Linked DNA regions of Caenorhabditis elegans. The protein of the gene in region 2 purifies or fractionates together with the protein of the main gene of each other region. This does not show direct contact. Each region holds a gene or a part of one and is shown on either strand. Other genes may lie near its edges.

Region 1 (6,255 bases), on a different chromosome or scaffold from region 2:
ATGTCGGTTTTGCTCACTTACCCTTTCATTTGTGCTTTTTGTTGAACTACACGTGTTTCCACCGGGTTTGGGGTAACGAGCTTAAACCAGGAATATTTATTTGGTGTCCAATCAGAGGTCTCATCGGCTCCTTGCATAGCCAGTCTCGACGAAGTCTGGAAAATTTGTTAGTGCTATTCAAATAAAAAATTCAAGTTCAACTCACTATTACCAAAGAAGCGTCTGAATTTATTGATAGCCTATCAAATTGAGTAGTCATGTTGTTCTATAAAATATCAAAATTTTTATTAAAAAATTTTTATTAAGCTTCTAGACTTGAACTGGTTCTAACTGAATGTTATAATTGAATAAACTCACATTTATATCACAGAAACGATCTGATTTTGACTTATCGTCGTGATTATCCATTTTTGAAACAAGACGAGAGAATGAAGTAATGAATAATATCATCGGGAATTTTCCCGAATAAACTTTAAATTTCCCCGTGAAATCTCATTACCCTTTTCCACGTTTTGTAGTCTATAGATCTGGGACAGTGATAAGAAGGTTGCTATAAATTGAGAATATTTTGCCATAATCTTCATAGAGTTTTCATAACTCCTTCATCGAACGACCATGGCCCAATCCGTCCCACCAGGAGACATCCAAACCCAACCAAACGCGAAGATCGTCTTTAATGCTCCATACGATGACAAGCACACCTATCACATCAAGGTGATCAACTCATCGGCTCGTCGTATTGGATATGGTATCAAGACCACCAATATGAAGAGACTTGGAGTTGATCCACCATGTGGAGTTCTCGATCCAAAGGAAGCTGTGCTTCTTGCTGTTTCCTGCGATGCTTTCGCCTTCGGACAAGAGGATACCAACAACGACCGTATCACTGTTGAGTGGACCAACACCCCGGATGGAGCTGCCAAGCAATTCCGTCGTGAATGGTTCCAGGGAGACGGTATGGTTCGTCGCAAGAACCTTCCAATCGAGTACAATCCATAGGATGTGTGAACTGGGTTTCTTAACAATAAACTTTTTTCAAGTATATGTTCTGTTTTTCTGTTTTAATCTGCAAATTGAATATATATTAATACTCAAGCGAACAAGTTTTGTGTTCCATCGATGCCCTTAACATAAGCATCCGGGATTTATTGTAAATCGTTTGGAACTATAGTAATCCTACCTTAATCTTCCAGTAGTCATTCAGTTCAGAAGACTACCCAACCATACTACTAACCCAGCCCATCTCTCCAAAACCTGAAAGCTGTTTTGCTCCGTAAAGGTCGAGGAGGGTGTATTTTTCTTACAAATCAAAGAAATTAACAAGTGAACCGATCACAACTTTTTTTGCTGATATGAGAGAAAAATACTTTATTGATTGGTTCGAGTAAATTTTCGAATTTTCGAAAAAGGAAAGATCCCTGGTATATAATGTCTCAGCTCTGCTATGTATTTTTCTATTTGAAATTCCGAATTCAAATTTTCTCTAGATGAAAGCCTTGGTATTGAATTCTATGCTGGGTTTAGTAAATTTTCGAATTTTCGATAAAAATTATATAATGAAGAAAAATATCCAAATTGGAGGTATTTTAATTTTAGAATACGGGAACGAAGAAGATCAAGATCACATACAAAGTTTAATGGATCTGAAGACATTTCAATTTATCTGGGTAGAACCAATTCTTCAACTCCAAATTCTACAGTAACCGATTCTTAAACATCTTATGGAAGTCCATCGAGATATGTATTTCATTATCATGTTCTTACCCGTTTTTTTTCAATAATGAGATTCTATATTTCGCTTAATGTTTTTATTGTTCTTATTGCTTCCAAAAATTAACATTAAAACAATAAATATTTTGCATCTTGACAAATTTAACATTTTAAAGTCTGGTCAGATTTCATCCTTGAGGACAGTGCTGTGTCTACATACATGAAAAAAAATCAAAAAGTGGCGATTATTTAGTTTCATCCGCATTAAATTTTGTAAGACAAAAAAGTTTGGCAATTTACCAAATCTATGACTGAAAAATTTTCAAAAATCTAAAAACGTTTTGAGCATTATTTTTTAAGGTTATGAGGCCCTAGATAATCATGTTTCCTACCCGATTATCTATTTTAGATGTTTAAACTTCCGTTTTCATGATTTTAGCCATACTCTATTTAGATATATTCTTCCTTTTCATTTCATTTTTCCTCGCAGCTGCGATGGCAGTGTTGTTCGAAGTGTTCGTTTTCGTAGTGCCTACGACACTCCGATGTTCCACTCGCGCGTGTTGTTCACCGTAAATGTACACTGAGTTTTTCTTCGAATAAAATAGTTTTTCCTTCATTTTTCACCTGATTCGTGCGATTTTATTTGTTTTTCACACGTATTTTCATTATTTGAAGGTATGGATTTGAACGTCAAACAAAGTGGAATTCATTCCGTCGCTTTGCACACGACTTACTTCCAAAATCGCTCGGGGAAAGTCTATAAAGTGAGAAAACCTCTCCGAAATCACCTAACCCAATTAAAATTTTGCAGAGAGCCGAAGAAAGATATCTACGAAATGATCTTTCATGTGGACTTGCTCAATGTGGAACCTGCAAGGATTTCGGCACAAATCCGCTGTTAAAAATTGAAAATCCCGTAAGAAATGCGAAAGTTGGAAGGCACGCGCTGATTGTGGATTCCACATCATTAATCAGATTCTACGATTTGTTTGATTCGTCTTTATTGAGGTAATGAATTAAAATTACAGCGGAATCATTTAAATGTAGATGGTTCTACTGTCCAATTATTAAATTCTTAATTTGTTGCTCCAAATTCAGTTTTTAGAAGTTGTCGGGATTGTAACAAACATCTAGTTTCAATTAAAAACTCTGTAAAATAATAAATTATATTTAATTTTCAGAGATCTCATCGTAACCCAGACTGTATGGGAAGGAGTCAAAGCAAAAGCTGTACCAGCCTACAAGAAAATGAATTCTTTGTGTTATGAAGATGCGAAAGACAGATTTCACGTGTTCATGAACGAATTTCACTGCGAGACCTTCTCCGAATCATCGAAATTTGAGGATTTGAGTCGTGGCGAAGAGCTTCTACTTTCAACAGCTCTTTACTTGAAAACTCATTGGCAGAAGCATAACGTGGCTCCTGTTGTCTTAGTTTTTGATGAAGATTCGAAAAAAAGAATGGAAAATCACTACCAACACGTGATGTATTTAAAGGTTAATAGTCGAAAAGTTCAAAACTCTGTGGATCTTTTCTGAAACTGGCGAAATTTCGAAAAAGAGCCAAATTTTGTTAAAAGAAAATTTTTGATTTCTTAAGACTCATAATGAAATTCTGTCGTTCCGAGCTAGTTTCAGACTATTTCAGCCAAAAACCCTAAAATATACACCTCTTTAACATATTTTCGCCGTAACTAAACTTTTATTCAACTAAAAATCATGATCCTTAATCAAAAATTGTATAATAAAGTACAATAAAGTTTGAAAAATGATCCAGTAACCCCGTAGAAAAAGAAAAAATCTCCAAATTTTCAGGAATACATACAAAATTTGGAGGATCCAGGAAAACAAGCACTTTTGGATCAAATGGCTGCGTATGAAAGCTCTGGAAATGGAAATGAGAAACAAATTTTCGATGAATATCTATCGCATGATAGAATTATGGAGGGAATTGCCAGTGGAACGATCAAAAGAGGAAATTTCAGTGTTTCAAGAGAAAATTATCGCGAAGCTACTGTTATTATTGATGATCAGTTAACATCTTGGTTCATCACAGGTGCTTGAATTTAGTTGAAATATTTATTTTCGAAAACCAACCAAATTTTTCACACAAGTCATTACTTTTTGCTGAGAATTTTAAAAAAACTTTTTTATAACGAAATTAGGTGGTTTTCGGTCATTTTGAGCGAAACAACTCTGAAATTATATTTTTAAAAAAGGTGAAATTTTTCCAAAAATTCCAATTCTCTGAATAATAAAATTTTTATTTCGAATTTTAGGAAATAATTGCAATCGTGCCGTCAATGGAGATACCGTCGCAGTTCAACTTTTGCCAGAAGACCAATGGACTGCTCCAGAGAAGAAAATTCGACTCCGTGACGTTGAAGAATATGTTAAAACTGCAGATGACATGGGAAATGAAGACGAGGAGAATGATGACGAGAACGATGAGCCAAAAGCTAAAAAGTCGAAGAAAATGACTGTTTCAACTGCAAAAGTTGTTGGAATTATCAAAAGAAATTGGCGTGAATATTGTGGAATGTTGCTGCCAAGTACAGTGAAAGGAGCCAGAAGACACTTGTTCTGTCCAGCTGAACGACTTATTCCAAGAATTCGAATCGAGACGGAACAGGCTGAAACTTTATCACAGCAGAGAATTGTGGTGGCTATTGATCACTGGCCAAGAGATTCCAAGTATCCACTTGGACATTACGTCAGGTATGTGAAATTTCAGAAAATCTTGAAATATTTTAACGGAATGACTGTTGTTTTCAGATCAATCGGAGAGATGGGATCCCGTGAAACTGAAAATGAGGTTCTCCTTCTCGAACATGATATTCCACATGCTCCATTCTCAGAATCTGTTCTTGATTGTCTACCACGTGAAGAATGGGAACCAGATCTCACTGAAAACCGCGGCCCTCTACCACGTGTTGATTTGAGAGATTTAACAATTTGTTCAGTTGATCCACTTGGATGTACAGATATTGACGACGCATTACACTGTAAACAAATTGGAGAGGATCTTTTCGAAGTTGGAGTTCATATTGCAGATGTCACGCATTTTGTTAGACCAGGTAAATATACTGAAATTATTTAAAAATTCAAGTTTTACTAAAAAAAATGTTTGTCCTTTGAGGTTCGAATAAAACCTCATTTATTTTCAAAAAAAGAACCAAAATTTCCTACGTTTAGGAACCGCAATCGACGATGAAGCAGCATTACGTGGAACTACAGTATACCTTTGTGATCGTCGTATCGATATGCTTCCATGTCTGCTCAGTTCCAATTTGTGCTCACTTCGCGGAGAAGAAGAGCGTTATGCATTTTCGTGTATTTGGACAATGACTTCTAGTGCTGATATACAATCAGTTAAATATCACAAATCTCTAATTAAATCAAAAGCTGCATTGACTTATGAGAAGGCACAAGAGATTATTGACGATCCAAAAGAGCAGAATGACGTGGCATTGGGATTACGTGGATTGATGAAATTGTCGAAAGTTTTGAATGCGAGAAGAACTGGAAATGGAGCATTGACGTTGGCATCGAGTGAAGTTCGCTTTGATATGGATTGGGAGTCCAGAACACCAAAGGTTTAAAATTTAAAAAATATTACAAAAAAAAAAGTTATATTCAAATTCAAAGAAGAAATATATTTTATACAACAGAGCGACCTAGAAACTGATTTTCATTTAGATTATTACAGTAATCTCTCATTAGAGCGCGCTTGCGAAATTTCCAGTTCTTTTTTGCTAACTTTTAAACCATTTTAAACCAATAAAAATGATTTAGATCAGGCAATATCCCTCAAAATGATTTTTATTTGAAAACATTTCTTGGGAGTTTTGTGAAATTTGTTTTAAAAATACTCAGACAACCCTATTTCTCATCTAATTAGAAAAATAGGATGAACTAACGCGCACCAGTTCGGCATGCTTTTTTTCTAATTCGACGCGCATTGTTTCTAATTCGACGAGCATCCCTTCTAATTAGATGTGGTGTGCGTGTTTTCTAATTAGATATGCATCCTTTCTAATTAGAAAATCCTTTTCTAATTAGATGTGGTTAATTTCTTATTAGATGTGGCTATTTTCGAATTAGATGAAAAATGGGGTTGTCTGAGATACTTGGCTTATGTATGCTGTTGCTGATCAAAAATGATCAAAAACTTACATATTTATTGTGCAAAAGATGTATGTGAAAAACGAATTGTGTTTAATAATCGTAGAAAATCGCAATGTTTTGTATAAATGTGCTCTAAATTTCACCAATGGAGTATAACCAGAAAAACATGATTTTAAACAGGGAAAATCGAGTGAAATCCGACGAAATTCGAAAATTCTTTTAATATATGATAATTTCCAACGAGCAAATTTTTAAAAGCAAGTGTGCATCAATGAGGCGCTGTTTAAAATCTTTTAAAATTTTTCATAGCTGAATAATTTTTCAGAAAGTAATGGAAAAGCAGCATTTGGACACACATTCAATGGTTGAAGAATTCATGCTTCTCGCAAATATCTCCGTTGCCGAGAAAATTCT
Region 2 (6,401 bases):
TACAGTAGTAGTTTAAAGAATTACTGTAGTTTTCGCTACGCGATATTTTGCGCGTCGAATGTGTTGTGCAGTACCCATACTCAGAGTTTGGATATTTATTTATAGATAATTGTCAAAGTTTTTTAACTTGCAAAAATGTTCCTAAACCGATAATTGTTTTTGGAGAAAACCGTATACTACTCTTCTCGGCGAGTTTGGTAGTGTCTGGGGACCTGTTTGTAAAATCTGAGCTTCCAACAAAAAAAATCCCAATTTGAAAATTTGAATCAATTTCAGTCGTCGTTAATAATCTTCAAAGGCGACTTGAATTACCGTAAGCTTGTTGGTGATCGGGACTGGGATCTCGATACTTCGTTCAAAACCGCCTGTCGTGGATTTGCACCGTGTCCATTTATGGCGTTGCGTACTCTTAAAGCTGAAACTGTTGCCGGATTGAGTGAGGAGTCCATCGCTATTTTATTAGAGGTTCGTACTTTTTTTTTTTGATAAAAAAGTTATTATAAATCGAAAAAAAAAACTATAAAAATAAGACATCAAAAAGAATTCGGTCCTTGCTAATTTTTTTGTCGCAAAATCGGATAAGTTACTTCAAAATTTAGAGAATTTAAATAAGGTTAACAAAAAGCCTGTTTTCAGAAATTCGAAGAAGACAACACGTGGATGACTTCAGGAGAGTATGCCGTATGTCAACTTGGCGGGATCTAATCACCTTTTCTTCAAATATTCAACAAAAAACCCCATTAAATCGCATTTTCCTCCCAGCACACCGTCGTCTCCGGCTGTTCCCTTTTTTTCTGTTTTCTTCTAAATTAGTTTTTTTATCACTCATATCATATTGCTCCTACTGCAACTAATTTCATCTTTAGGCTTTTTCATGCACGTAGACTTTACTCAGCAACTATTCTGTCCCAATTCTTGTTTTTGACTTTTTTGAAGGTAGAGTAGCGAAGTTTTTTTGTTATTTTTAAATATATTACAAAAAAGGTCCCGAATTTCGAGAAACAAGCGAAAATTTAGCTTTAAAAAAATTAAAAATTCAAATCTGAAATTGTTCGCAATCGTTAAGAAATTCTGTCATTTTTTCTAATATTTTTTTAGAAATTAAAAAGAACTTCCCAAAATACAATTCCCTGCACTTTTCTTCTGTGTGAATGATCGTCTAGATTTAGATTCCCCCCATTGCGCTCCTACCTCACAATCCACCCATCCAGAACTTCCCCCAATCATTTGTTGTATTTATTTTAGTATTAATAAACGCTTATATTTGTAAAAATGAATTTTTTTGTTCAAGTGAGAAAAAAAACGAGATAACGATAAGAGGTAACAATTCAAAAAAAAATCAACAAATTGAATAAATTCCATAAATTTAGAGCAAGAAAGAGTGTCCCGGTTTCCTCATTTCTTCATTTTTCAATCGTTTTGCCAGAGCTCCATACAATCCACCAACAGATTTCGCAGCCAATTCCAGCATTTCCTGAATCGATTCCATCTCCAAAAGTCCACCGCCAACTTGTTTCACACACGTTACATCATAATTTGGCTCGTTATTTTCAGAAGAGTCTGCAATCGCCGCCAATCCAACGAGCAATTGAGATCGAATGCAGCATTCTTCTTCGGGTGTGCAGTCGACAAGATTAGCAGTGCCAATTTTTGAGATTGTCAGCAGCAGTGGACATCTAAATACTTTTTTCATTTTAGAGGTGAAACACGACTAGTTTGAGGATTTTTTGTCTCAAAAAATTTGTCCCAATCAACGAATTTACGCGAGGTAAATAACCAAAATATGGATTAAAGGGTGATAATATCAGAAAAATCAAATTCCATCGGCTGTGACAAAGAAGATTGGGCAAAATTTCAGATTATAGCAAACTTTGCCTCTTTTTTCGAAATTTTGACCCGCCATTATAAATTGTCGTACATTTTTTGTGAAGTCTCATTATGAAATTCGCTGGTTTTGAACCAGTTTTAGTCTATTTAAGTAAAACACCCACAAACTCTACTCCCCCTTTAAGAAAAAAAAAACAAAATATTTTCCATTCAACATTTTTTGTCATATATCTCAAAAAAAAAAAATTTCAAGCCAATATATGGGCGGAGCCTGTACCTCATCACATCCAATTTCCACATTGCAACTTGCACATTCTCATCTCGAACATTTCCAGCAACTTTCGGCCGTTTCAACACAATTCTCACTTTTCCTCCATCATCTGGTGCAACGTCACCTTCTGGAAACTCTAAATCACTCAATGCTCCGATGATTGCAATAGAAATCGCATCGGAAACACTTCCGTCCCACTGAAGAACCGAAATGTCCACATTAATTTTCCAGCGATATCCGTCGGCCAGCTGAGTTTTCGCGAGATTCGGCATAATATCGAGTGCTTTTGAATAAGCCGCTTGAAATGCTGCCGATAGTTCCTCTGCGTATTCGTCGCCTCCTTTTCCTGAAAATAATTGAAATTTTTGGATTTTTAAGATTTTTAGAGCTTAATACCAGCGAATTGACTGCTCGCGTTGGCTGAGAAATCCACGTTGAAATTAATTGGTTGTTTTGGCTCTTTTTCTGTTTCAGCATCGTATGATTCTAGTTCGAGTTTGATTCCAGCCTGTATAAAATATTTTTTTAAAAACAAGTCTATATGACAGAAAATAGTTTCAATATATCAATAGCTTTTTAAAAATGTTCACTAATTTTGTAGAGAAATCCTTCATATCCAGTGGGGTGTTATTTGAAAAGTCTGACATATTACGGGAACACAAAATTCTGACGCGCAAAATATCTCGTAGCGAAACCTACAGTAATTCTTTAAAAGACTACTCGCTTGTGTCGATTTACGAGCTCAAATGGATTAAAATAATTTATCTATATATGTATCGATAAAGTATTGAAAATCACTTAAAATTAAGAAAATAAAGAGAACATCGCTCCCGCCATTCGAGAATAAATTAATTTTCAAAAAAATGGAGCCCGTAAATCGACACAAGCGCTACAGTAGTTTTCGGAGGCCCCACGAAAAGGGGAGCAGAACGAAAAGGGGATCTGCAAAAAGGGGATCTGCGAAAAGGGGAGATACGAAAAGGGGAGCAACGAAAAGGGGTGCTGGCACTGTGCCAAACGCTATTTTTCTCGAAGAAAACGATACAACGATGCTCCGATGTTACGCGTCGCGTGTTGTTAAGCGTATCTTCTAGAAGAAAATTTCAAAAATCAACGTGCGTTGCGTGAGAAAAATTGCGTTTTGTGCGTTTGGCACAGTGCCAGCTCCCCTTTTCGTATCTCCCCTTTTCGCAGATCCCCTTTTCGCAGATCCCCTTTTTGCAGATCCCCTTTTCGTTCTGCTCCCCTTTTCGTGGGGCCTCAGTTTTCGCTACGAGAAATTTTGCGCGGCAAATGTGCTGTGCAATACGCATTCTCAGAATTTTGTGTTTACGTAATAAAAGATTTTCGAAATTTTTGAATTTTTTTGTTTTTCGGGGAAAATCGAAAAATCTTTTTGAAAATATTCAAAAAATTACCATAAAATTCGATTTTTGTCTAATTTTGTTTATATTTTCTTTTAATGACCAAAATTTTAATAAACTTTGGTCATTTGTCTACTTTTTAGAAAATCTTTTAAAATATTTTTTCTCATAAACAAAATTAGACAAAAAATCAAATAATATGGTTTTTTTTAAATATTTTTCTCGACTTTTTCGATTTTCCAGAAGATTCAGGTATTACAATCCATTTTTTATATCTTAAAACAAAAATCTCACTACGTTTCGCTTCATTTAATTAATTTCGACAATATTTCCTCACCAAAACGTCGGTAGTCTGTCCTAATTGAACACGACAACTTCCATTCGTTCCCGACAGAACACCTCTCTCGAGAATAATCTGTCTGAAATCCTGACAACTTCGTCCATCATTCCGAATGTTCGCTTCGGCTCCAGTAATCAGAAATAACTTCTCGTCGTCGCTAAGATGGACTTCCATTAGGCTGAAGGAAGATATATTTTGAAAAATGATTTTGTGAAATGGAGATATTGAAAAGAAGCTTTGAAACTTGGAAATTGAATAAATCGATTTCTTTTCTAAAGAAAAACATTTTAATAAAAAAAAAACAAAGAAACAAAAATCTAGAGATGAAGATCCTAATTATGATTATTTCCGTCCTCCTGCTGGTGCACAATCGTACTTTCCTCGCACAATATTGGCTTTGACAGAAATCAAATCTCGTCGACGTCCTCCTTTTACCAGCACCTGTAAAAAAGTAAAAAAAAAACGTTTTTTTTCGCGAAAAGAGACTGTGTAACCTGTGAATGTTCCTGCAAATTGTGTCCGACATTCGGAATATACGCGCACACTTCTGCTCCAGTCGACAATCTCACAATTGCACACTTTCGATTTCCAGAGTTTGGCTTTTTGGGGTGACGAATCACGGCTGAAAATATCTAGTTTATTGATTAGTTCAAGAGAATTAAAAATGGAAACTTTTCAGCACAATTCCTTTGTAATGAGAATATCCACTGATTGCGCTCTTATCCTTACTGCGAGCACGTCGTTTTGGTGGGCCATTTCGGTAGTGAATAAACTGCAATTTTTAGTATTATTCTTCATGATTTAAGATTGAATTACCTGCAAGAAATTGTTTCTCCAAGCAGGAAAACTAGTTGAAAATTGCGATGATTGATGTGTGAAGAGTGTAGACGCGGTCGTTTTCGGAAGAAATGAGCTGATTGTACTGGAAAACCCGGCTAGAAATCCTCCAAGACGAGGTAACATCTACAAAATAGGAATTTAATAGAGATTTTTAAAGTTTCATGGCCTCCCGGAAACAAAAAGCTTAAAAGATAACCGTCTCGTCGTCTGCGCGTCTCTCATCTCTATCGCGTGACGGTGGCGCGCGTTTACCTCTTTTTTTCACTGAAATTCTTGCTAAAACCTTCAGACGTATCGGAAAGATGAAAAATGATAAAATATTGAACTGAAAGGAATAGTAATGTGGACAGCGTAATGTTATCTTCAATAAAACATAATTTAGAAATAGTAGTATTTTAAATGAACGAAAATCCAGAAAAATACCGAAATTTTGTTAATTTATTCTTCTTTCAGAAAAATAGGATAGTTTTTAATTACTTTTTGTTTTAATTACACTCATATAAGCGATTAAAAGAAACGCGACGTTAAACGGATTATCGGGTTTTTTCTTCTGAATTTTTTTGCCGTTCTTGCAAAACTCAATTTCCAAATACTGAATTTTCAGGGACAAAAGTAACCAGAAAAATTTAAAAAAAAACCGCATCCCAACATAAAAGCATAAATTTCTTATTACTATTTGTTTGAAGGACGGAGAAATTGATTTAAGACACAAAATGTTCGAAAATGGGGGAAACCAGTGAAAAAAGCGAAAAAGAAATTGCAGTCTATTTCAGAATGGAGACGGGAAAATGACAAGAATCAGGCTGGCCACACAACGGTTGGAAAATGAAAAGGGAGAATGAAACTAGAGGCTGTAAATATATATTTAAACAATAATAATACAATATATTTAGAAAATTTGAATTTAAATTTAAAATAAGAAAATTATTAAATTAGTATTACAAAATTACATAAGATTAGTTGTATTTATTAGTTCTCTTAATGCGTATTATTCACTGCTAATCTGCTCCACTGTACATCGAATGGATCAACTGGTTTTGCTGGTGGCTGGGAGATTTTCATTGGGTTTGGAGACGAGTTCCAGTTTATTCCAGCCGGCGAATTTCGAGTCTGAAATAGAAAAAAAAATTCAGTGTTTTTTTTCAAAATTCCAGCAACATACACTATTTGCTTGCTGTAACTGCTGTTGATAAATCGACGGGCTTCCATTCGAAACCGCTTGTCTCACTGGTAGTGGAGGAGGCGCATGGGCGGGTGGGGGTCCAGATTTCGGAAGAACAGAGTACGATGAAGTCGACGGTGGATCTGATGATGGTGACGTTGGTGACATACTCATCGACACTCTCAGCACATCATCCAGCCATTCGTCGGCTTTTGATCGAGTTGTTGGCGTATTTTCACCCGATGAGATGCTTATCAGTTTGATATCTGTAAAATTGCAAATTGGAGTTGAAAAAGTTTTTTTTTTTTTGAGATGTGACTGAAATTTCGATTTTTCTAAAACCGAAAAACTGCAAGGCCAAGCAGCATTTGGTTTTTTAAAGAAAACCGATTTTAAAAATTCAATTTTGCATTTTTTATCGGATTTTTAGTTTCAGCAGAAACTGACCTTCAAACTGCTTCTGAAGCTTATCCAATGGTCCGACTGTCGGTTTTTCTATAGTATTTTGAGGCCACGCGGCAACAAAATCTCCATTCGCATTATGTTGCTGCATTTGATGAACAGGCGCCGGAATCGACTTCCAGTTCAAATTGATTC

Evidence for each region. Proteins that work in one complex are often made in the same cells at the same time.
Region 1: the proteins of exos-7 (region 2) and dis-3 fractionate together in Caenorhabditis elegans (co-fractionation; one large-scale study listed by BioGRID). This does not show direct contact.

Annotation. Positions count from the first base shown.
Region 1 is NC_003282.8:10,094,818-10,101,072, forward strand, and holds the start of dis-3 (putative exosome complex exonuclease RRP44), read left to right. Parts: upstream 1-2,384; 5' UTR 2,385-2,390; coding exon 2,391-2,477; intron 2,478-2,524; coding exon 2,525-2,721; intron 2,722-2,894; coding exon 2,895-3,210; intron 3,211-3,528; coding exon 3,529-3,769; intron 3,770-3,992; coding exon 3,993-4,431; intron 4,432-4,488; coding exon 4,489-4,790; intron 4,791-4,908; coding exon 4,909-5,309; intron 5,310-6,166; coding exon 6,167-6,255. Other genes in the region: C04G2.5 (BTB domain-containing protein), read right to left, coding at 22-155, 206-265, 358-408; msp-36 (Major sperm protein 10/36/56/76), read left to right, coding at 616-999. UniProt on the Caenorhabditis elegans protein: Putative catalytic component of the RNA exosome complex which has 3'->5' exoribonuclease activity and participates in a multitude of cellular RNA processing and degradation events. Has both 3'-5' exonuclease and endonuclease activities.
Region 2 is NC_003283.11:20,836,444-20,842,844, reverse strand, and holds exos-7 (Ribosomal RNA-processing protein 42), read right to left. Parts: upstream 3,981-6,401; 5' UTR 3,977-3,980; coding exon 3,800-3,976; intron 2,607-3,799; coding exon 2,495-2,606; intron 2,445-2,494; coding exon 2,105-2,444; intron 1,677-2,104; coding exon 1,367-1,676; 3' UTR 1,263-1,366; downstream 1-1,262. Other genes in the region: F31D4.2 (Sugar phosphate phosphatase), read left to right, coding at 277-465, 637-705; mrps-12 (Small ribosomal subunit protein uS12m), read right to left, coding at 4,145-4,243, 4,297-4,424, 4,475-4,574, 4,619-4,765; num-1 (PID domain-containing protein), read right to left, coding at 5,621-5,752, 5,805-6,070, 6,252-6,401.